Macaca fascicularis: one gene and its partner. Each later gene encodes a partner of the first gene's protein in a complex. Links are inferred from orthologs where the notes say so. Each region holds a gene or a part of one and is shown in the gene's direction. Other genes may lie near its edges.

What was found.
Region 2: the proteins of S100A4 (region 1) and MYH9 are in contact, whole or in part, in an NMR structure (PDB 2LNK), measured with the Homo sapiens proteins. The link is inferred for Macaca fascicularis from reciprocal best matches to the Homo sapiens genes S100A4 and MYH9. Residues at the interface, in NP_002952.1 of Homo sapiens: Leu38, Ser44, Phe45, Leu46, Gly47, Lys48, Arg49, Thr50, Asp51, Ala54, Phe55, Lys57, Leu58, Asn61, Leu62, Ser64, Gln73, Glu74, Cys76, Val77, Phe78, Ser80, Cys81, Ile82, Met84, Met85, Cys86, Glu88, Phe89, Phe90; in NP_002464.1 of Homo sapiens: Thr1906, Ala1909, Met1910, Glu1913, Val1914, Ser1915, Leu1917, Lys1918, Lys1920, Leu1921, Arg1922, Asp1925, Leu1926, Pro1927, Phe1928, Val1929, Val1930, Pro1931, Arg1932, Met1934, Ala1935.

The regions. Positions count from the first base shown.
Region 1 is NC_088375.1:107,614,138-107,624,641, forward strand, and holds S100A4 (protein S100-A4), read left to right. Parts: upstream 1-3,423; 5' UTR 3,424-3,474; intron 3,475-4,458; 5' UTR 4,459-4,473; coding exon 4,474-4,614; intron 4,615-5,346; coding exon 5,347-5,511; 3' UTR 5,512-5,645; downstream 5,646-10,504. Other genes in the region: S100A3 (protein S100-A3), read left to right, coding at 731-871, 1,370-1,534; S100A5 (protein S100-A5), read left to right, coding at 9,075-9,212. UniProt on the Homo sapiens protein: Calcium-binding protein that plays a role in various cellular processes including motility, angiogenesis, cell differentiation, apoptosis, and autophagy.
Region 2 is NC_088384.1:15,396,935-15,406,486, forward strand, and holds the end of MYH9 (myosin-9), read left to right. Parts: intron 1-158; coding exon 159-247; intron 248-330; coding exon 331-454; intron 455-778; coding exon 779-987; intron 988-1,597; coding exon 1,598-1,706; intron 1,707-1,843; coding exon 1,844-2,016; intron 2,017-3,247; coding exon 3,248-3,365; 3' UTR 3,366-4,753; downstream 4,754-9,552. UniProt on the Homo sapiens protein: Cellular myosin that appears to play a role in cytokinesis, cell shape, and specialized functions such as secretion and capping. Required for cortical actin clearance prior to oocyte exocytosis. Promotes cell motility in conjunction with S100A4.

The DNA.
Region 1 (10,504 bases):
GATCATCTGGTTCAGGCTCCTGACTAGGCCTGTGAGGTGGGATGACCCCACCTTATAGATTAGGCCCCGCCCCTGAGACCCAGAGAGACAAATGACTCACCAGGGTTGCACCGCTGGCGAGAGGGAGAGAGGATCCCACGAGTTTTTCTTTTGGATGCAGCTTCCTTGAGTTCAGGGCAGGAGGCAGGATGAGGGGAGTGGTGGTGAGGTGGTGGGGGTGCCTCTCAGACCTGCCCCTCCCTGCTAAGGCCTGGCTTCTCCAAGGGCCTGAGGGCAGAGAAACACAGGGCCAGGCTCTCCTTGTGCAAGTTCCCGCGGGAGGGAGGCTTCTAGGGCATCTCATGGGCTGGGGCAGACTGGGACCGAGCCAGCCCTGGGTGTTGGGGATAAGAAGAGGTGGCAGAGAATCTGGGAGTGCTTAAGGAGCCCCGCAGTGGGGAGTGTGGGTGGTGGGGTGGGATGCTGTCTCTTTGAGGAGTTTGCGGTGATGTTGGGGCAATGAGACCTCCACACGGGGAAGTAATAACAGGACAGCAGGGGGATAAATTAGGAGGGGCTGGTGTGGTCCGGGAGGGCTGCTCAGAGGAGGGGGAGACTGCGAGGCCTGAAGCCTGATGGAGGTTAGGATGGGTCTGGGAACAGTCTCTGAGAAACACAGAGGGCAGAGGTGAGCCGGGGGGGTGGCCTGGAACTCTGCTGTGAGTCACACCCTTGTTCTGTGACAGTAAGGATGGCCAGGCCTCTGGAGCAGGCGGTAGCTGCCATCGTGTGCACCTTCCAGGAATATGCAGGGCGCTGTGGGGACAAATACAAGCTCTGCCAGGCGGAGCTCAAGGAGCTGCTGCAAAAGGAGTTGGCCACCTGGACCCCGGTGAGCAGTTGGAGTGTCTGTCCCCTCCTCGCCCAGTGGGAGGCACTGCCTAGACTCTGCCAAGAGAGACCTGGGGACAAGCATGAGCACAGGACAGCAAGGGGAGGGGGCTGGTTTGTGAGGAGGAAGTGGGAGGGGAGAACTGACATAGCAGAAACCTCAGCTTCCTCATCTATAAAATGGGATGACAATCATCACACCTGCTGCCTTGCAGGGTTGTTGAGAGGACTGAGCGAGAGCACCATGAAGAATGCCTAACACATAGTAGGCACTCAGTAGCAAATAGTAGGTGCTCGATTAATAATCTGAGAGGGCAGTTTTGGGAGGGGATTGCAACGGGTGCATTATCAGAGCAGGGAGGTTGAAATTGGCCCTCGGAAGGGTGTAGTTTGGGGTAGGGTGGGTCCACTTGGGAGAGGAGGGAGGGAGGTGGCGTGTGAGGCTGTTCTGCCCTCCTCATCCTACTCCCCCACTCCTCCCCACCCTTCCCTTGCACAGACTGAGTTTCGGGAGTGTGACTACAACAAATTCATGAGTGTTCTGGACACCAACAAGGACTGCGAGGTGGACTTTGTGGAGTATGTGCGCTCACTTGCCTGCCTCTGTCTCTACTGCCACGAGTACTTCAAGGACTGTCCCTCAGATCCCCCCTGCTCCCAGTAGCCTCTGCTCCAGGGGGTGCGCCAGCTGTTGGGGGCTGGGCATGTCTCCCACACTCCCTCCTACCCTCTCTCCTGTACCCCTTTCAATCTGGACTTGCCCAGGTCTTCCGTGATCAGTTAACCCATTTTACCTAGGAGGCCCAGAGATGTGAGGGCTCCTTTCCCAGGATGCCCAGCAAGTGAGGGGTAGAGCCACTCTGGGCCCCAGCCTGCCTGCTGCACCCCTGCGGCCTCCCTTGTGGATGGGAGGAGGCGGGATCTGCTGTGAGGCCCTCGAGGCTCAGCAGAGCGTGCACCAATGAGACCACGATGGGAAAGGGCCTATTTAACTCCTAATAAAAAACTGGCATCAGCTTGGTTTTGTTTGATTCTTCTCTGAGGACGTGTCTGCTGAGCTCTTTGCTACTTTCTGGCCTTTTCTACTGCAGGAAGGCAGCTGAGGGCAGGGGCAGGGGCAGGGGCAGGGGGCTCCCCCAGGGAAGTTGCAGACCCTGCAGAAATGCAGTGGCCTCCAGGGTCCAGCAGGAGGGCGTGGGGCCAACACAGGGACCCCTGTCCTCCCTTCCTCTCTCTCTCTCTCTCTGGGGTCTTTGAGAGAGGACCACCTGAGTTTCCCCTGGGACTCAGTGCTCACGGTTGGATGACCTGAGGAGGGTGGGGCCGTGGGCACAGTGGGGGTGTTTGTTCCCTGCCCCGGGCTGTGGGAGCCCAGAAAGCAGCACTAATGGGATTAGGGTGTCTGAGGTGTTTACTCCCAGCCAGGAAGTTGTGCCCTGTGTGGAGGGGGAAGGGGATAACTTGAGGCAGCCCCTATCCCTGAAGCCGCAGTCCCCTGAGGGCCTTAACCCCCTACTTCTAACTCTCACTGAGTTTGTAGCCCACCCTGAGAGGTTGGCTCGAATTCTAACTCCCCTATTTCGTGCCATTTCACCTCTAACTCTCCACCCCAACCTGGATTCTTCATTCCTGACACTCATCCCAACTTGAAATGGCCCCTCCTGATACCCTCTCCGAACCTGAGATCTATCCGTGAGCCCCCACGTGTCACTGCCACTCCATACTCCATCACCACCTCACCCAGGACCTTTCCCACTGACGTTCCTGAAGGGGTCCCAGAGCCTCATTTGGGTGTGAACCTGTTCCCCTCCAGATCCCCCAGCCCTGGCCCTGAGCCTTACTTGGCATGGCAGACAGTACTGGGCATGGAGATCCCTGCCCCATTTTTGTTTTTGAGTCTTTATTTTTTTAAGAGACAAGGTCTGCTGTGTTGCCCAGGCTGGAGAGCAGTGGCTTGAGCATAGCCAACTGCAGTCTCGAACTCCTGGGCTCAAACGATCCTCCTGTTTCAGCTTCCTGACTAGCTGGGACTACAGGCTACAGCCACGCTGCCCGTCTAATTAAAAACAAATTTTGTTTTTCCTTTTTATAGAGACAGAGGTCTCACTATGTTGCCTAGGCTGGTCTTGAACTCCTGGCCTCAGGCGATCCTCCCATCCCCCTCCCTAGCTTTTGTGTCACCACATTTCCAGGGCAATCTCCCATCTGTCACCCACCACCCCCTGCATCTTCTTTCCTAGCTCCCTGATGGAACTACTCCCTCCCTGTCCCCCATGCTCCAGACACAGACTACCCCTTCCTCCACCTCTCTAAAACTCAGGCTGAGCTATGTACACTGGGTGGTGCCTATTGCATCCAGGTCCCTGCTGGTAACTGCTGGGGCTTACCCGTTACCCAAACAAGAGGCTTGGTTGCAAGGCTGGGCTGGTGGAGGGTGCTGTGGCACTTAACACATCAGCCCACAGCAGGAAGGCAGTATCCACTCTCCCCTGTCCCCTGCTATGGGCAGGGCCTGGCTGGGGTATAAATAGGTCAGACCGCTGGGCCGTCCCCATTCTTCCCCTCTCTACAACCCTCTCTCCTCAGCGCTTCTCTCTTGGTTTGGTGAGTTGTGTTGGCCTGATTGGCATGCAAGGAGTGTCAGAGGCCAGGGCTGGGGCAGGAGAAGGGGAAGCTGGTGGGGGCTAGATGTGCTAAAGAGATCCAGATGTGAGACTCTGATGTGGAACTCTGGGTAGAGTGTGTGCGTGGGTGTGCATGTGTGTGGGTGTGCATGTGTGTGGGTGTGCATGTGTGTGGGTGTGCATGTGCACACACACGTGCACGTAAGAGGGAGGAAAAAACCAACAGAAAAGCGAGCAAGTGGCTAGATTTGAGCTCTCCAGGTGCTTCCGAGATGTGGGCTTGCACATGCTGTTGCTATAGTATGTGTTGGTATGTATGTGCCCATGGGTATCTGCACTGGCTCATGTTTGCTGGGTTGCGCACTCGGGAGCAGGAAGCAAAGGAAAGGCAGAAGGCAACTGTGGGCGTTCGTCTGGTGGTGTGCCCCATGAGCCTCTGCCCTGCACGCAGCAGCCCAGCTCAAGAAGGAGCGTGGCCTCTGCACCTTCTCTTCCAACCCTTGCCTCTGCCATCTCACTTTGCCCCTCCCTACGCTGAGCACTAAGCAGCTGGTTTTTTCCGCTGCAGGCCCCTGGGCAGGCCTCCAGCAGCCGCACCCAGTGCTGGGAGGGAGAAGAATGGCCAGGGCGGGGCCTTTGTGGCTGAGCCGTGGGAGTGGATAGACTGAGCGAGGGATGGAAAAAATGCTGTTGTTGAGGCGAGGCCTGGGAGGCCCTGGGAGCTTGCTGCCTGAATCTCCAGAGCCTGCGCAGTGGGTTCTGCAAATGTTCACTGCCCAGAGCATGTGTTCCCCACTGTGCACACCCTCCCCGCCAGGTGCTGGGCCCACTGCTCTGGGCTCCCCCAGGGAGGGAGCAGAGTCTCGCCAAGTGATCCTGGAGGGATGGGAGGGGAGCCTGGCATTCTGAACACATCTCTGAGGGGTGGGGTAAATAAGAGGGTCTCTGTGCCTCCTGCTCCCAGATCCTGACTGCTGTCATGGCGTGCCCTCTGGAGAAGGCCCTGGATGTGATGGTGTCCACCTTCCACAAGTACTCGGGCAAAGAGGGTGACAAGTTCAAGCTCAACAAATCAGAGCTAAAGGAGTTGCTGACCCGGGAGCTGCCCAGCTTCTTGGGGGTGAGTGGGTAGTGCTTGAGTGTGTCCCCACGTGGGGCATTTCCCACAGAGGAGGGCAGCAGTCTTGATCTAGAGCATTAGCTACAGAGGGCATCTATCAGTGGGGTGACTGCCTGGGGTGGAAACACATTGAACACCACCGCTCACTGACTGGCCCCATATGCTGAAAGAGGGCTGAGAATGAATGTGTCAGACACTGCCAGATGCTTTGCACAACTTAACTGAAGGGAAGACTAAGCTCAGAGTGCTAAGTAACTTCCCAAGGTGGTCAGCGTACACAACTGCCATCTGGACCAGGACTGTCTGACTCTTGCCATCACGCCAACAGTGGACACTGTTTGAGTTTCTGTTTGGCTTGTAGATGTGAAGACACAGATGTGGAGATGATCACAGGCCTGCAGACATTCCCCTCAAACACTAACAATGTATATTTGTATCAAACATAATACAGTTTACATATTGCTTTCATGACTATTACTACCTCATGGGATTATTAGAGCAACCTTGGGTGAAAATGTAGTGGTTCCGTCATTTTTCCATTGCACCAGGTACTCAGACTTCCTTATCCAAGGAGTACCTTCTCCATCCTAGCTTAGCCTTGAGGGTTGGAGTTCCAAACTGGACCTCCCAAAGGAGCCTCCCTGAACTCTGGTCTGGCAGTAGAAACTGGGTCTGGTCCTGGCTCTCCCTACTGGGCTTCTGTTTTCTATCTGTAGCCTCTTCTCCCTCCAGAAAAGGACAGATGAAGCTGCATTCCAGAAGCTGATGAGCAACTTGGACAGCAACAGGGACAACGAGGTGGACTTCCAAGAGTACTGTGTCTTCCTGTCCTGCATCGCCATGATGTGTAATGAATTCTTTGAAGGCTTCCCAGATAAGCAGCCCAGGAAGAAATGAAAGCTTCTCTGATGTGGTTGGGGGTTCTGCCAGCTGGGGCCTTCCCTGTCGCCAGTGGGCACAGTGCCCCACCCTGGATCCTTCAGACACGTGCTTGATGCTGAGCAAGTTCAATAAAGATTCTTGGAAGTTTTGAGGCTGATGGTTTGAGAGACTCTGGGGGCATGGGTTGGGGGCTGAGAGAGATGTTGTGGGGTGGTGGTGGGGAGAGCTGAAGTTTTATGGAGAGCAAACCAGTGAAGTCAGGGGAGGGATGCAGGATGACTATGAGTGTATGCACAGGCAATAAAGTTCACTCAGTGAGGTCAAAGCTGAGAAGGGGACCCCATAACCACCCCCTTGTCAAGGTTTGGAAAGCTCCAGCTGTGGGATCTCAGCCAGCCCACTTACCCCTCCCACCTCTCTCCAACCTTGCCTCTGACAGGATCTTGAACCGAGGCTGGAATTGAAGGTCACATCTGTTCCTGGCTGGGGTCTGGAATGGAGTTTGGGTGTCCTGGGAGGAAGTCAGAGGGAAAAGAATAAGACTGAGCTGCAGGGAGGAAGTACTTAGGTGACAGTGGGATGGGGAGGAGGGCTGGCACTTAGTGCTGACATTTACAGTCCAGGCTCTATCCTGCCACCCCCTTCCAGATCCCTGGCTTCAAACCACAGGGATGGATTAGTCCTTTCCTGTCTGTGGTAGGATCAGGGAAGGCAATGTGGAGGGAGACCCGGCTGTTTGCAGCAGCATGAGAATATAGGCATTCTCGAATCCACCGTCTCTGCCACAAAGGTCCCTGGATGAGATCTGTTATCAGTCAGGAATCAAGCTCCTTCAGGGAAGGACAGGGGACCTCAGAAGAGATGAGTGGGGGTCAGTGGCTGGGGTGGGAGTGAGGCAAAGGGTGAGAAGGTGACCATAGTTTGGAGACAAAATTCCACATATGTGGAATTTTGATCTGATAAATGAAATTGAGATTATTTCCCCCCCACCCCAGAAAATATGAGGCATGATATTGCTTCCCCTTAAGTAGGTTCAAGGCCAGTGGTTCAAGGGTGCAGTGGTGGGCAGAGGTTAGACTTCAAGGCCCTGCCTGGCTGACACGGGGATCTTTAAGGAAGAAGTGCGTGGAGATCAGGCGCAGAGGCTGGAGGGCTTGGTCCCACTGACCTCCTCTTACGGGTCCTCTTTCCTCTCGTCACGTGGGGCTTTTCTCTCAGGTTTCAGAGGAGTGGGGCAGGTGACTCAGATGTTCCCTCAGGGTTTGACTGCAGAGACTTGGGAGGAATTTCAGTTCAGGAGAAAGTCTGCTGCCTTCCCCTGTCCTCTCCATCCACCCTCCCTGGGAGCACCCTCTCTGCGGCCTCCACCTGCATCACGCTGTCCTTCAGAGATGCCTGCTGCATAGCAACCAATCCCTGCTGCCTCTGCAACCTTGCCAGTTGGTGGTGGGGTGGAGTGGGGAGCAGTGGGAAGGCCTCCCAGGCTGGGGTGGGACTGTAGCAGTGACAGGCGCTACACCCTGAGCCCAGGTCTGTTCTTGGACTGGTGGTAGAAGTACGTTGTTCTACTGTGGTAGAACAATGTCTGAGTGTCTCCTGGGATACAGGGAACTTCCCTGGCCCCTACTCCCTCCTTGACTGCAACCTGAGCCCGAACCCCCCTCCCCAATCCACAACCTCTACCCCAGTGCTGGGCCTTAGCCCTTCGCTGGGTGCCTTTCCTATTCCTGATTCTCAGTCCTCCATGCCAAGAGCCTCCGACAAGCCTTTCCTGCGAAGAGCAGTGAGGCCTAGAAGAAATCATTCATTTAAAAGCCCTTTAAAAACCTCTGGGTCCATATTAGCTCACGACCTTGACCATATCCTTCGCAGAAAATATCTTCCTCCACTGATCCCCATCTCAAGGGCTGTCCTCTCTGCTTCTGGAGTGGGTGGCAAGATGGGTGGGAGGGTCCTGATGCGGAGAGCTTCCTAGGACATGGGGAGATGGTGCCCTCTGTTTGGCCCATACCTCCGAAGTTTTCTTTCCAGGACAACCTGGTTTCCCTTCTTTGGCTTATTGTTCCATCAGATTTCAGATTGTGAGTTCTGATTTTTGGTCAGAAGAATAAAGTTTCTGGGATTGGGGACGTGTGTGCTATGGGAACTCAGTGTGTCCCCAGCCCTTGTTTGTAAACAAGGAAGGTGAGATTGACAGAAGCGGTTTCTCCCCAGCTCCATCCTGGGAGGCTCTGACGTGAGCATCCCCAAGTTCCCAGCCTCTTCCCATGGGCCCTTTCTCTCTCCTGGTTTCCTGGGGACAGAGAGCAGGCGAATAAAGGCAGAAGGCAGTGAGAGGGAGGCTGTGTCTGCTGCCTGGATTCTCTGGGCTCACTCCCACAGTGGTAAGTCCTTCCTTCTTATGTCCCTGTTTGTCTGCTATCTGGTGGATCACACTGGATGGTGAGGGTGACGAGCGGTGGTGACCTCCACCAAGGAGGCCTGGCCCCACAAGCGGGCATGCACTCGGGGAGGAAACGGCAGAGCCTTTGGAACTTCTTGAGAAATGGCTCTGGGGTGGAGGTGGGGGTCTGGACTAGCCAGGATGCTCCTGCAGGTGCACAGAGGCCCTTGCCTTCAACTGCGGCCCCAGTTGAGTCTCCTTGAGGTGGGAGAGGCTGAGGTTTTGGGTGGTGGGAGAGGAATGATGGGTCTGGTTTAAGAATGGCAGGGAGGGCTTTGGGCTGGAGGTGAGGACAGGATTAACCTGCAGTCCTCAAGTTCTGTGGGTGTTGCCTCCTTCCTCCCTGAGGGGGAAGTGGTTTTTAGTCTGAGTCACTTGAGCTCCATCCGTCTCTTCCCTTGGCTGGGGGTGGCTGTGCCATTGGAATCCAGGCCTTTATTCAAGCGTAGCCTCTGGATCCAGGTTTTGGAATGATCCTGGAGATTTCAAGAGGCCCCCTGCTCTCCCTGCCTGCTGGCCTGTCTGTGTGTGCACTGCTCTGGGCCAGAGTCTGGAGACCAGTTGGGCCAGCTCAGCCACCTCCCTGCTGCTCCTTGTTGAGCCCTCATCTCCTAGTTCCAGCCCAGCCCCCTCTCAGCCCTGGACTCTCTCTTTGCCCTGTCCCCCACTTTAATAATGGGACACTCCTCGATATCAGGTGATTCAGGCACTGGGGGAAAGGCTGGTGACTAAGGTAGGAACTGTCTGTGGAAAACCAGTTCCTAGGCTGGAAGGGGCAGAGAGAAAATCGTGACCCTTGATCTGCTCCAGCATCTGCCACCAGGCTTTTTGAGGAGGTCGTCTTGTCATCTTTCTGCCCCAGGCCTCCTTTTCAACAACTCCCAAGCAGGAGAGTCTGCGGTCTGCTTTGGGGGCTGGCCGTTCTCCTTGTATCAGCTGCTCCAGGGTTTGCTGTGGGTCTCACTGTAACCTGTGCTGATACAGATGGGTGCTCTTGTTAGTGGATTTCGGTCTCATCTTGGGTTCCAGTCTCTTGTCTTTGAGGGAGGGGCCTCAGAGGTAGGCTAGTGCTGCTGGTGGTGACTTCCTGAGGAATGGGATCTTCCCTGCTCCCTCTGCAGAGCTGCACACTGTGATGGAGACCCCTCTGGAGAAGGCCCTGACCACTATGGTGACCACGTTTCACAAATATTCGGGGAGAGAGGGTAGCAAACTGACCCTGAGTAGGAAGGAACTCAAGGAGCTGATCAAGAAAGAGCTGTGTCTTGGGGAGGTAGGTGATTGTTCCCTCATCCTCCACCCCAAAGTCTGAGTACTCCCTCTGGGGGACACATACCTACTCCCAGGATCCTCCAGTCTAAGCCAGGGGCAGGGTGGCCAAGGGCTACAGACAGAGACAAAGGAAGACGGTGGGGATTTGGGGCCAGCAAAACTCTAGCCCTCTGTGAAGGAGGATGCGTCAGGGTCTCACTGAGAAGGAGGAAGGGCTGAGTCTGGAGGGTTTAGAGAAGGAGATTGAGCCTTCGATGGTGCGGCTAGGCTTTCGCAGCAGTGGCAGAACCTGTGCTAGGGGTCGTGGGTGGTGAAGGGATGCAGGGTGTCCAGGTCCAGCTGTGTACAACCCAAGGGTAGGGACCCCGCCTGATTCTTCTCTGTGTGCACAGCATGGCCAGGGCTCTCCAATGGTGCTGGCTCTCCAACTGAAACTATGTTTACAAGTTACCCTATGTTGGCCGGGTGCGGTGGCTCAAGCCTGTAATCCCAGCACTTTGGGAGGCCGAGATGGGCGGATCACGAGGTCAGGAGATCGAGAGACGATCCCGGCTAACACGGTGAAACCCCGTCTCTACTAAAAAATACAAAAAAATAGCCGGGCGAGGTGGCGGGCGCCTGTAGTCCCAGCTACTCGGGAGGCTGAGGCAGGAGAATGGCGTAAACCCGGGAGGCGGAGCTTGCAGGGAGCTGAGATCCGGCCACGGCACTCCAGCCTGGGTGACAGAGCAAGACTCCGTCTCAAAAAAAAAAAAAAAAAAAAAGTTACCCTATGTTAACTCGTAAACATAGGATAGCCAGGAGACAGAACTGGTTCTCACCAGATGGAGGTGGCGTGAGGGAGGTGACTGACAGAGGGGAAGGCCCAGGAGGTTATTATAATACAATATCCCTGAGGATAAACATATATATGTAAAAATATAAATATATATACATATACATATATATATATTTATTTTTTTTTTGAGACGGAGTCTTGCTCTGTCGCCCAGGCTGGAGTGCAGTGGCATGATCCTGGCTCACTGCAACCTCTGCCTCCTAGGTTCAGGTGATTCTCCTGCCTCAGCCTATTGAGTAACTGGGATTACAGGCACACACCATCATGCCCGGCTAATTTTTGTATTTTTAGTAGAGATGGGGTTTCACCATATTGGTCAGGCTGGTCTTGAACATCTGACCTCGTGATCCATCCGCCTCGGCCTCCCAAAGTGTTGGGATTACAGGTGTGAGCCACTGCGCCTGGCCAAGGATAAATAAGACTCTGTCACCCAGGTTAGAGTGCAGTGGTGTGCT
Region 2 (9,552 bases), on another chromosome or scaffold:
GGGGGCACCAGCCTGTGAGCTAGAGGGTTTCTGGAGGAAGGGCTTCCTGGGGGAGGTGGGCCTGGGGAAGGGCTTGAGAGGAGGGTGCCCGGGGCTGGGAAGGATGGTCTTGCAGGGCTGTGGCTGCCTTCAGGTCACACTCTGGGTCTTTGTGGCAGGAACTGGCAGCCGCGGAGCGTGCCAAGCGCCAGGCCCAGCAGGAGCGGGATGAGCTGGCTGATGAGATCGCCAACAGCAGTGGCAAAGGGTGAGCTGAGTGAGGGGACAGAGTTGAGGGGGACCAGCTGTGCCCCCGGGGTAGGCCCCTCACTTTTCCCACCCACCCCACAGAGCCCTGGCGTTGGAGGAGAAGCGGCGTCTGGAGGCCCGCATCGCCCAGCTGGAGGAGGAGCTGGAGGAGGAGCAGGGCAACACGGAGCTGATCAACGACCGGCTGAAGAAGGCCAACCTGCAGGTGGGTGCCAGGCCTTCTCCTACCCTGGGCTCTGGAGCCACCACGGCAGAGCTGGCCTCAGACCCAGCCGGCAGAAGCACAGGCCAAGTGCCAGCTGCTCCCCAGGTGCTTACGGGAACATGTCCAGGCACCTGGACATGAAAGAGTCCCCTCTGGCTTCTGTGTTGGGTGTTCAGAAGTTTCTAATCCTCCCTTTTCTGGGAGACCCACGACTCTGGACCCCAAGGGTTTGGTGAGATCCTGCTGCCACCTTCCTCCGGCCCTGCTCGTGCCCTCCAGCCAGGGCCCCAGCCCTTCCCGAGGTCACTGGCCCTCCTTCTGTAGATCGACCAGATCAACACCGACCTGAACCTGGAGCGCAGCCACGCCCAGAAGAACGAGAATGCTCGGCAGCAGCTGGAGCGCCAGAACAAGGAGCTCAAGGTCAAGCTGCAGGAGATGGAGGGCACTGTCAAGTCCAAGTACAAGGCCTCCATCACTGCCCTCGAGGCCAAGATCGCACAGCTGGAGGAGCAGCTGGACAACGAGACCAAGTACGTGCCCCTGACCCCGCCCAACTCCAGCCGTCCTGGCAAAAACTCCAGCCCCCTTGCAGTCCTGCCCAAATCTGGGCCACAACCAGCTCTCTGTCTCCTGAGTGCTGGGGGCTGTTTCCCTCCCTCCTGATGGGGCCCACATCCCTTCCACAGTTGGGTGGTTGGGGGAGTTTGTGGGGTTTGAACGGGATTCTCTGTTCCACCTCGAAAGCCAGGAGCTTTGGTGGCTGTCTCTGAGGGTGAATCAGAGCAGGAGGTAGAGGGGGGTCCTGCCCACCCGGGCAGTTGTTCTGTGGGCTCAGCAGGACTGAGACTTCCTTGGAGGGAATGGGGGTTACAGTAGGCCCCCAAACCTCCTTTCCAGTTACACAGATGCCCTTTGAGGTGTGTCACTTCCCTTACCTGCGCCCGTTTCCCCATCTGTAAATGGGGCTTTTTGCAGTGCCCATCATAAGAAGCCAGGCACACATAGGTGTCCAGCAAAGGCCTCCCTAGGTGATCCCTAGATGCCAGCGAGCCCCGGGGAACGGGGGGTCCATGTTAGGGTTTGTTGGCTGGACCCTCTGAAGGAGGGTGTTCCCTCTGAGCCACCTTGTCTGTCATGCAGGGAGCGCCAGGCAGCCTGCAAACAGGTGCGTCGGACGGAGAAGAAGCTGAAGGATGTGCTGCTGCAGGTGGATGATGAGCGGAGGAACGCCGAGCAGTACAAGGACCAGGTGCGGGCGCTGGTGGGGCAGTGAGAAGGGCAGCCGGGCTGGGCAGCAGATGGGGCAACAGGCAGGGCAGTGAGGCTGGCTGGCTGCACGCCCAGAGCCCCTAACCAGGACCACGGGCCACACGTCCATCTCCACAGGCCGACAAGGCATCCACCCGCCTGAAGCAGCTCAAGCGGCAGCTGGAGGAGGCGGAAGAGGAGGCCCAGCGGGCCAACGCCTCCCGCCGGAAACTGCAGCGCGAGCTGGAGGACGCCACCGAGACGGCCGATGCCATGAACCGCGAGGTCAGCTCCCTCAAGAACAAGCTCAGGTGAGCCCCCACCGCCCAACCCACCCCTTTGCCTCGGCACTTCTCTCAAAAGGTAGCTTGTTCCTCAATCACAGCCCACAAGCAAACCACAAATGACACCAAGAAAGGACTGCACAAAGCAATCTCTGCCCCTTCTGACTTCTTGCCTTTGAGGCTTCAGCTTAGTGTTTTCAACACACAGTAAACTCTAGGTAGTTTATTCCTAGCCTGTCCTAAAAGTCTGTTGTCTTTTGAATTAGAAGTTGCTTGAGGCCACCTGGCCCAGTCCTGGCACATATTAGGTGCCTCATAAATATCTACAAAATGAATACGGGCCTCATAAACAATGTCTACAGAGGTTAAAAAGGCTCCTTTGCATTTCCCAGGGAGTGTTAACACTCAACAAGTAGTGAATGTTTGAAGCAGAGGATCTTATTCTCTGAGATTCTCATTTCTTACCTCTTTTTCATGGGGATCTTGTTTGTTTGTTTGTTTGTTTGTTTGAGATGGATTTTCACTCTTGTTGCCCAGACTGGAGTGCAATGATGCAGTCTCAGCTCACTGCAACCTCCTCCCGGGTTCAAGTGATTGTCCTCCCTCAGCCTCTGGAGTAGCTGGGATTACAGGCATGCACCACTATGCCCAGCTGATTTTTGTATTTTTAGTAGAGATGGGGTTTCACCATGTTGGTCAGGCTGGTCTCAAACTCCTGACCTCAGGTGACCCACCCACTTCGGCCTCTCAAAGTGCTGAAATTACAAGCGTGAGCCACTGTGCCAGGCCTTCATGGTGCTCTTTTTTTAAGCATAAGGAGTCAGTATTGGATATGAATTTTCTGCCATGTGGTAGAAAGAGGGTGCCCGGCTTTGTACTCTGTGTGAACAAGCACACCTGTTTACCTGTCTTGGTTTCACCGGTTTTATAGGAGTTGCAACAGAGGGTGGCATTTTACACTTACTTCTGTGCCTTTCCTGTTGTAATTGGTCCTGTTTGCCTGAACTGTTTTTGTGCTATGGTTGTGTGTGAAGATGTCTGACACCGAAACATTTTGCGGGAAGCTTTGCCTGCTTTCCTGAGAGCGGTCCTGTCCAGCTCACCTGTGGCTCCCAAGGCTCCGCCTTGCTTCTTCCTGGTGGGAGCAGCCAGGCGCCTGGTTTCCCTCTCGAATTCGCTTTGAGATGTGTGTGCTGTGCTGCGGCCACCCCTGGCCTGTCTGTGCCCACTGACCCTCTGCCTCTGCCTCTGCCCCCAGGCGCGGGGACCTGCCGTTTGTCATGCCCCGCCGAATGGCCCGGAAAGGCGCTGGCGATGGTTCCGACGAGGAGGTGGATGGCAAAGCGGATGGGGCTGAGGCCAAACCTGCCGAATAAGCCTCTTCTCCTGCAGCCTGAGATGGATGGACAGACGGACACCACAGCCTCCCCTTTCCAGACCCTGCAGCAGGCCTCTCCCCACCTTCTTGGGACTGCTGTGAACGCGCCTCCCCCTGCCCTCAGCCCCGTGCCCCCATCCTGTTTCCCTCCAGGTGTTGTTGAGGGCATTTGGCTTCCTCTGCTGCATCCCCTTCCAGCTCCCTCCCCCGCTCAGAATCTGATACCAAAGAGACAGGGCCCGGGCCCAGGCAGAGAGCGACCAGCAGGCTCCTCATCCCCCTCTTGCCAAAAAGCACAAGATGTTGAGGCGAGGAGGGCAGGCCCCCGGGGAGGGGCCAGAGTTTCTATGAATCTATTTTTCTTCAGACTGAAGGTGTTTTGGTAGTCGGAACCCCCGCAGTTGTCAGCCTCCCTGACCTCTGCCACCAGCGCCCCCACTCCTCCTTTCTTTGCTGTTGGCAATCACACGTGGTGACCTCACACACCTCTGCCCCTTGGGCCTCCCACTCCCGTGGCTCTGGGCGGTCCGGAAGGAGCAGGCTCTGGGGCTCCACCTCTGTGCAGGGCACAGAATGCTGGGGTGGGGGGAGGAGTGGATTCCTCCCCACCCTGTCCCAGGCAGCGCCCCTGTCCACTGTCTCCCTCCTGATTCTAAAATGTCTCAAGTGCAATGCCCCCTCCCCTCCTTTACCGAGGACAGCCTGCCTCTGCCACAGCAAGGCTGCCGGGGTCAAGCAGGGAAGGCCAGCAGCCTTCCAGTGGCTTCTCCCAACACTTTTGGGGACCAAATATATTTAATGGTTAAGGGACTTGTCCCAAGTATGACAGCCAGAGCGTTAGAGGGGCCAGCAGCCCTGCCAGGCGATCTCGTGTCTACTCTAGGACTGGGCCCGAGGGTCCTTTACCTGCACCGTTGACTCGTATAGTTTAAAAATCTGCCACCTGCACAGATATTTTTGAAAGCAAAACAAGGTTTTCTTTTTTTCCCCTTTCTCGTAATAAATGATAAAATTCTGAGTCTTTCTCACTGCCTTTGTTTATAAGAGAGTTAGCTCGTCCTCACTGGTCTACACTGGTTGCCGAATTTACTTGTATTTCTAACTTTTGTATATGCTGCATTGAGACTTATGGCAAGAAGGCATTTTTTTTTTTTAAAAGGAAACAAACTCTCAAATCACGAAGCGATATAAAAGCTGTGTAATGCCTACAAAGCTCTGAATTCAGGTCCCAGTTGCTGTCACAAAGGAGTGAGTGAAACTCTCACCCCACCCCTTTTTTATATAATAAAAGTGCCTTAGCATGTGTTGCGGCTGTCACCACTACAGTAAGCTGGTTTACGGATGTTTTCCATGGAGCATCACAATAAAGAGAACCATGTGCTACCAGCCGTGTCTGTAGCGTTTGTCTGCGGCCAGGGGGCCCTGGACAGGACTGGGCCTGGCTCCTGCAGCCGGTGCCGGCTCTGCATCGTCAGGGAGCCAGACTGGCTGAGGCGTAGGCTGGGCTAGCTGTGGGCGGTTGTGCAGAAAAGATAAGATGGAAAGGTGTGCTAGGCCAGATCCAAGGAGGCTGAGAGCATCTTAGAAACCTTGGTTCAAGGCTGGGTACGGTGGCTCACGCCTGTAATCCCAGCACTTGGGAGGCCGAGGCAGAGGGATCACCTGAGATCAGGAGTTCAAGACCATGGCGAAATCCCATCTCTACTAAAAATACAAAAAAATTAGCCGGGCGGGGTGGTGCGTGCCTGTAATCCCAACTACTCTGGAGGCCGAGGCAGGAGAATCGCTTGAACCCGGGAGGCAGAGGTTGCAGTGAGCGGAGATCTGTGCCACTGCACTCCAGCCTGGGTGACAGAGTGAGACTCTGTCTCAAAAAAATAAATAATAATTTTAAAAAGGTGGACACTTATCTGGGTCAGCTTAAGGAGGTGGCTAATTTTTGGCAAAACAGCTGCATGCACATTCCCTGGCCATTAGCTTCCTATGTGCCACCCTGGCCTGTCACCCTGGACAAGTCACTCCCTTCCCGGTTAGCTTCCTTGTCTATTAAGTAAAGTACACTGGATCTTTGCTGCTGGATGGCGGTCCTTGCACCGACAGCATTGGCTCCATGTGGAACCTGCTTAGAGACTATTTCAGACCCCGCCCCCAACCCTCTGAATGTGACTCCACTTTAACAAGATCTACAGATGATCTTCACGGCATTTTGTCAGAATCTTTTTTTTTTCTCTCCCTCCCCCGAGATGGAATCTCACTCTGTCACCCAGGCTGGAATGCAGTGGCGCAATCTCAGTTCACTGCAACCTCCGCCTCCCAGGTTCAAGCGATTCTTCTGCTTCAGCCTCCTGAGTAGCTGGGACTACAGGTGCACACCACCACGCCCGACTAATATTTTTGTATTTTTAGTAGAGATGGGTTTCACCATGTTGGTCGGGCTGATCTCAAACTCCTGACCTCCAAAGTGTTGGGATTACAGGCGTGAGCCACTGCACCTGGCCTTTTTTTTTTTTTTTTTTTTTTTTTTGAGACAGAGTCCCTGTCACCCAGGCTGGAGAGCAGTGGTGCGATCTTGACTCACTGCGACCTGTGCCACCCAGGTTCAAGTGATTCTCGTGCCTCAGCCTCCTGAGTAGCTGCGGCTACAGGTGCACTCTACCACACCTGGCTAATTTTCGTATTTTTAGTTGAGACGGGGTTTTGCCATGTTGGCCAGGCTGGTCTTGAACTCCTGACCTCAGGAGATCCACCTGCCTGGGCTTCCCAAAATGCTGGGATTACAGGCATGAGCCACCGCACCTGGCCATTTCACCCCATTTGAACCTTAGTTTTCTCCTCTGGGAAGCCAAATTAATAAATGTTTTTATCACAGGGCCGTTGTTGAAGCATGTATGACTATGTGTGTGAAAATGTTTTGCAAACCAAAAAGGACTCAGGTGCTATTATTATTATTATTATTATTATTCTGCAAAGGTTGGGCTTTGAAAGGATTTTAAAATATTTTAATTGTGGTAAAATATTTATAACCTAAAATTTGCCTTTTTAACCATTTTTAAGTATACAGTTTTAAGTATACAGTGGAATTACATTCACATTGTTGCGCAACTACCATCACCGACAGAACTCTTCTCTTGCAAAACTGACACTTTGTACCCAGTAAACATTAACTCCTCATTCTCCCTCCCCCAGCCCCTGACAACCACCACTCTGTTCCCTATCTTTATACATTTGACCACCGTAAGAACCTCACATGAATGGAATCCTACAGCATGTGTCCTTTTGTGACGGGCTTATTTCACTTAGCAGAATGTCCTTAAAGGTTCAGCCCTGTTGTAGCATGGGTCAGAGTTTCCTTCCTCTTTAAGGCTGAATAATATTCCCTGTGTGTACACGTCGCATTTTGCTTATCCATTCATCTGTCAATGGACACCTGGGTTGCCTCCCCCTTTTGGCTATGGTGAACGATGTTGCTATGAGCGTGGCTGTACAAACATCTGGTCAGGTCCCTGTTTTCATGCTGTCGGGTGTATCCCCAGAAGTGGAATTGAGGGATCCTATGGTAATTCCATGTTTAAGTTTTCAAAGAACTGCCATATGGTTTTCCACAGCAGCTAAGTGCTATTAATTAATTAATTAATTAATTTGAGATGGAGTCTCGCTCTGTCGCCCAGGCTGGAGTGCAGTGGCGTGATTTCAGCTCACTGCAACCTCTGCCATCCGGGTTCAAATGATTCTCCTGCCTCAGACTCCCAAGTAGCTGGGACCACAGGTGCGCACCACCATGCCCGGCTAATTTTTGTGTTTTTAGTAGAGACAGGGTTTCACCATGTTGGCCAGGCTGGTCTCAAACTCCTGGCCTCAGGTGATCCTCCCGCCTCAGCCTCCCAAAGTGCTGGGATTACTGGTGTGAGCCACCGCGCTCAGCCAAGATGCTATTATGTTTAAGGTCATGTTTTGGCACAGCAATGACTCCAGACAAGAGTCTCCTTTGTCTCCTGGCTGCTGGAGGGAAGGGGATAGAGGTTGGTGGTGCTCCTTGGTGCATGTTCCAGAGATCCTGGTGCTGTGGGTGCTCACAGCACCCTCCCCACCTTCCACTCCTCACTTCTCCTGTTTGACATCCACCGAGCTAGAGGCTTCTCCCTCTCCCTGGGCTAACGCTTATTTGCAGCACCCTCAGAGAGGAGTTCAACCTGAAATCCTGCATTTAAATCAATTACTCAGTGACCTATTTCAAATTTGAATCCAAAAACTCTGTTAACTCTGTGAATGAATCCAGTTCTCTTAAATGTTATATGTGCATCACAAGGAAACACACATTTGTCTTGACTTCAGCGGGAAAATATTATGAGCTTGACTGTGTCTGTCATTTTGATACCTACTTCTAAACCTCCCTGAAGCTGACACCTGTTACTCAGAGCCCAATTTTTCCATCTGAGGAAAGACAAAAAGGATTGTCCATGAGATGCTGCTAGTGGCCGGGCTGTGAGTGGCCGGGACCAGTGGCTGCTCCCTCAGCCTCCTATGGGGTCCCCAGGGGCTGTGGGCATGAAACACAATTCCCTTCCCCTGCACTTTGCAGTCCTAGGCTGTTTGTCTCCGCTAGCCACTGATGCCTTCAGAAGCCCCCATTGTCAAATGCCCAGCTTGAAGCTCGCCACCTGCTTCCAGGGTCCCTGGAAAAAGAGAGCAGAACAGGGCGCTGGGGTCCCTGTCATGGTGCACACAGACAATGACATCTGGCATGACCTGGCCGAGCACACCTCTCCATTGGCTGGGCAGGGCAGGGTGGGGGTGGTGGCTGGGAGCCTTTGGCTGTCGACACTTCCAGCTTCCACTAGATGGTGGTAGTGATATCACCATACCTCTTCCAAAGCAATTTCAGGGTTTGCCTTCTTCTCAGTGGCTGAAGTTGGGTTTGCCTTCTCAGTGGCTGAAATTTTGTCTGGACCCAAGATTTTGGCCCAAGCCCCCTCCTCTGGAGCTGCAGACATCCAGGGTGACTTTTCCTGTAGTGTCGATGGTGAAGCTGAGCCCTATTTGTAGTCACTAGATCCTTGGAATCTCCAGATGGATGGTCTCTGCTCACGTCCCACGTCCCTGGAGTTAAGAGACACCTATTTCTCACCTGGATTTGAGTCTGCAGTCCCCATTCTGGTTGCTCCACTCTGAGATTACGTTCAGGGAGTCTATTGTCAACCTAAAATAACAGCAGAGAGGGAGTCTCCGAAGATAACGAGTTTATTCTAGAATGAGCAGAAGGATTTGTAAATCCAGGAATACATGATGTGTGAAGACACCCCATGGTGGGACCACAGGCAGACTCGGGGAGACAAAGGAAAACAGAGGGTTTTTATTTCCTCCTCCCCCGCCCCCCGAGTCTCACTCTGTCGCCAGGCTGGAGTGCAATGGCGCAATGTTGGCTCACTGCAACTTCTGCCTCCCAGGTTCCAGCAGTTCTCCTGCCTCAGCCTCCCAAGTAGCTGGAAATACAGGAATGTGCCACCACACCTGGCTAATTTTGTACTTTTAGTAGAGATGGGGTTTCTCCATGTTGGGCAGGTTGGTTTCGAACTCCTGACCTCAGGGGATCCACCCGCCTCAGCCTCCCAAAATGCTGGGATTACAGGTGTGAGCCACCACGCCCTGCTGAAAGCAGAGGTTTTTAAAGGAAAAATGAGGAGACTTATGTAAGTTATTTTAAATAATGATCCCTAGGTACAATAATTAATAACAAGGGTCACCTTAGCTCAAGGTTGAACAGACACTTGTTGGGCAGATGTCCTCATAGAGGTGGCCTTTGTGCAGGGCTGTGATTCTTTGTGCATGGTCGTGGTTTGCTGAGATCTCTTACAATAGTTCCTGTTATCCAGGAAACTGTGTGTGAGGCCCCCACTTCTTTTTTTTTTTTTTTCCTTTGAGACGAAGTCTGGCTCTGTCACCAGGCTGGAGTGCAGTGGTATAATCATGGCTTACTGCAACCTCTGCCTCCCAGGCTCAAGCGATTCTCCTGCCTCAGCCTCCCGAGTAGCTGGGACTACAGGCACCTGCCACCACACCCAGCTAATTTTTGTATTTTTAGTAGAGACGGGGTTTCACCATATTGGCCAGGCCGGTCTCAAACTCCTGATCTTGTGCTCTGCCCGCCTTGGCCTCCCAAAGTGCTGGGATTACAGGCGTGAGCCACT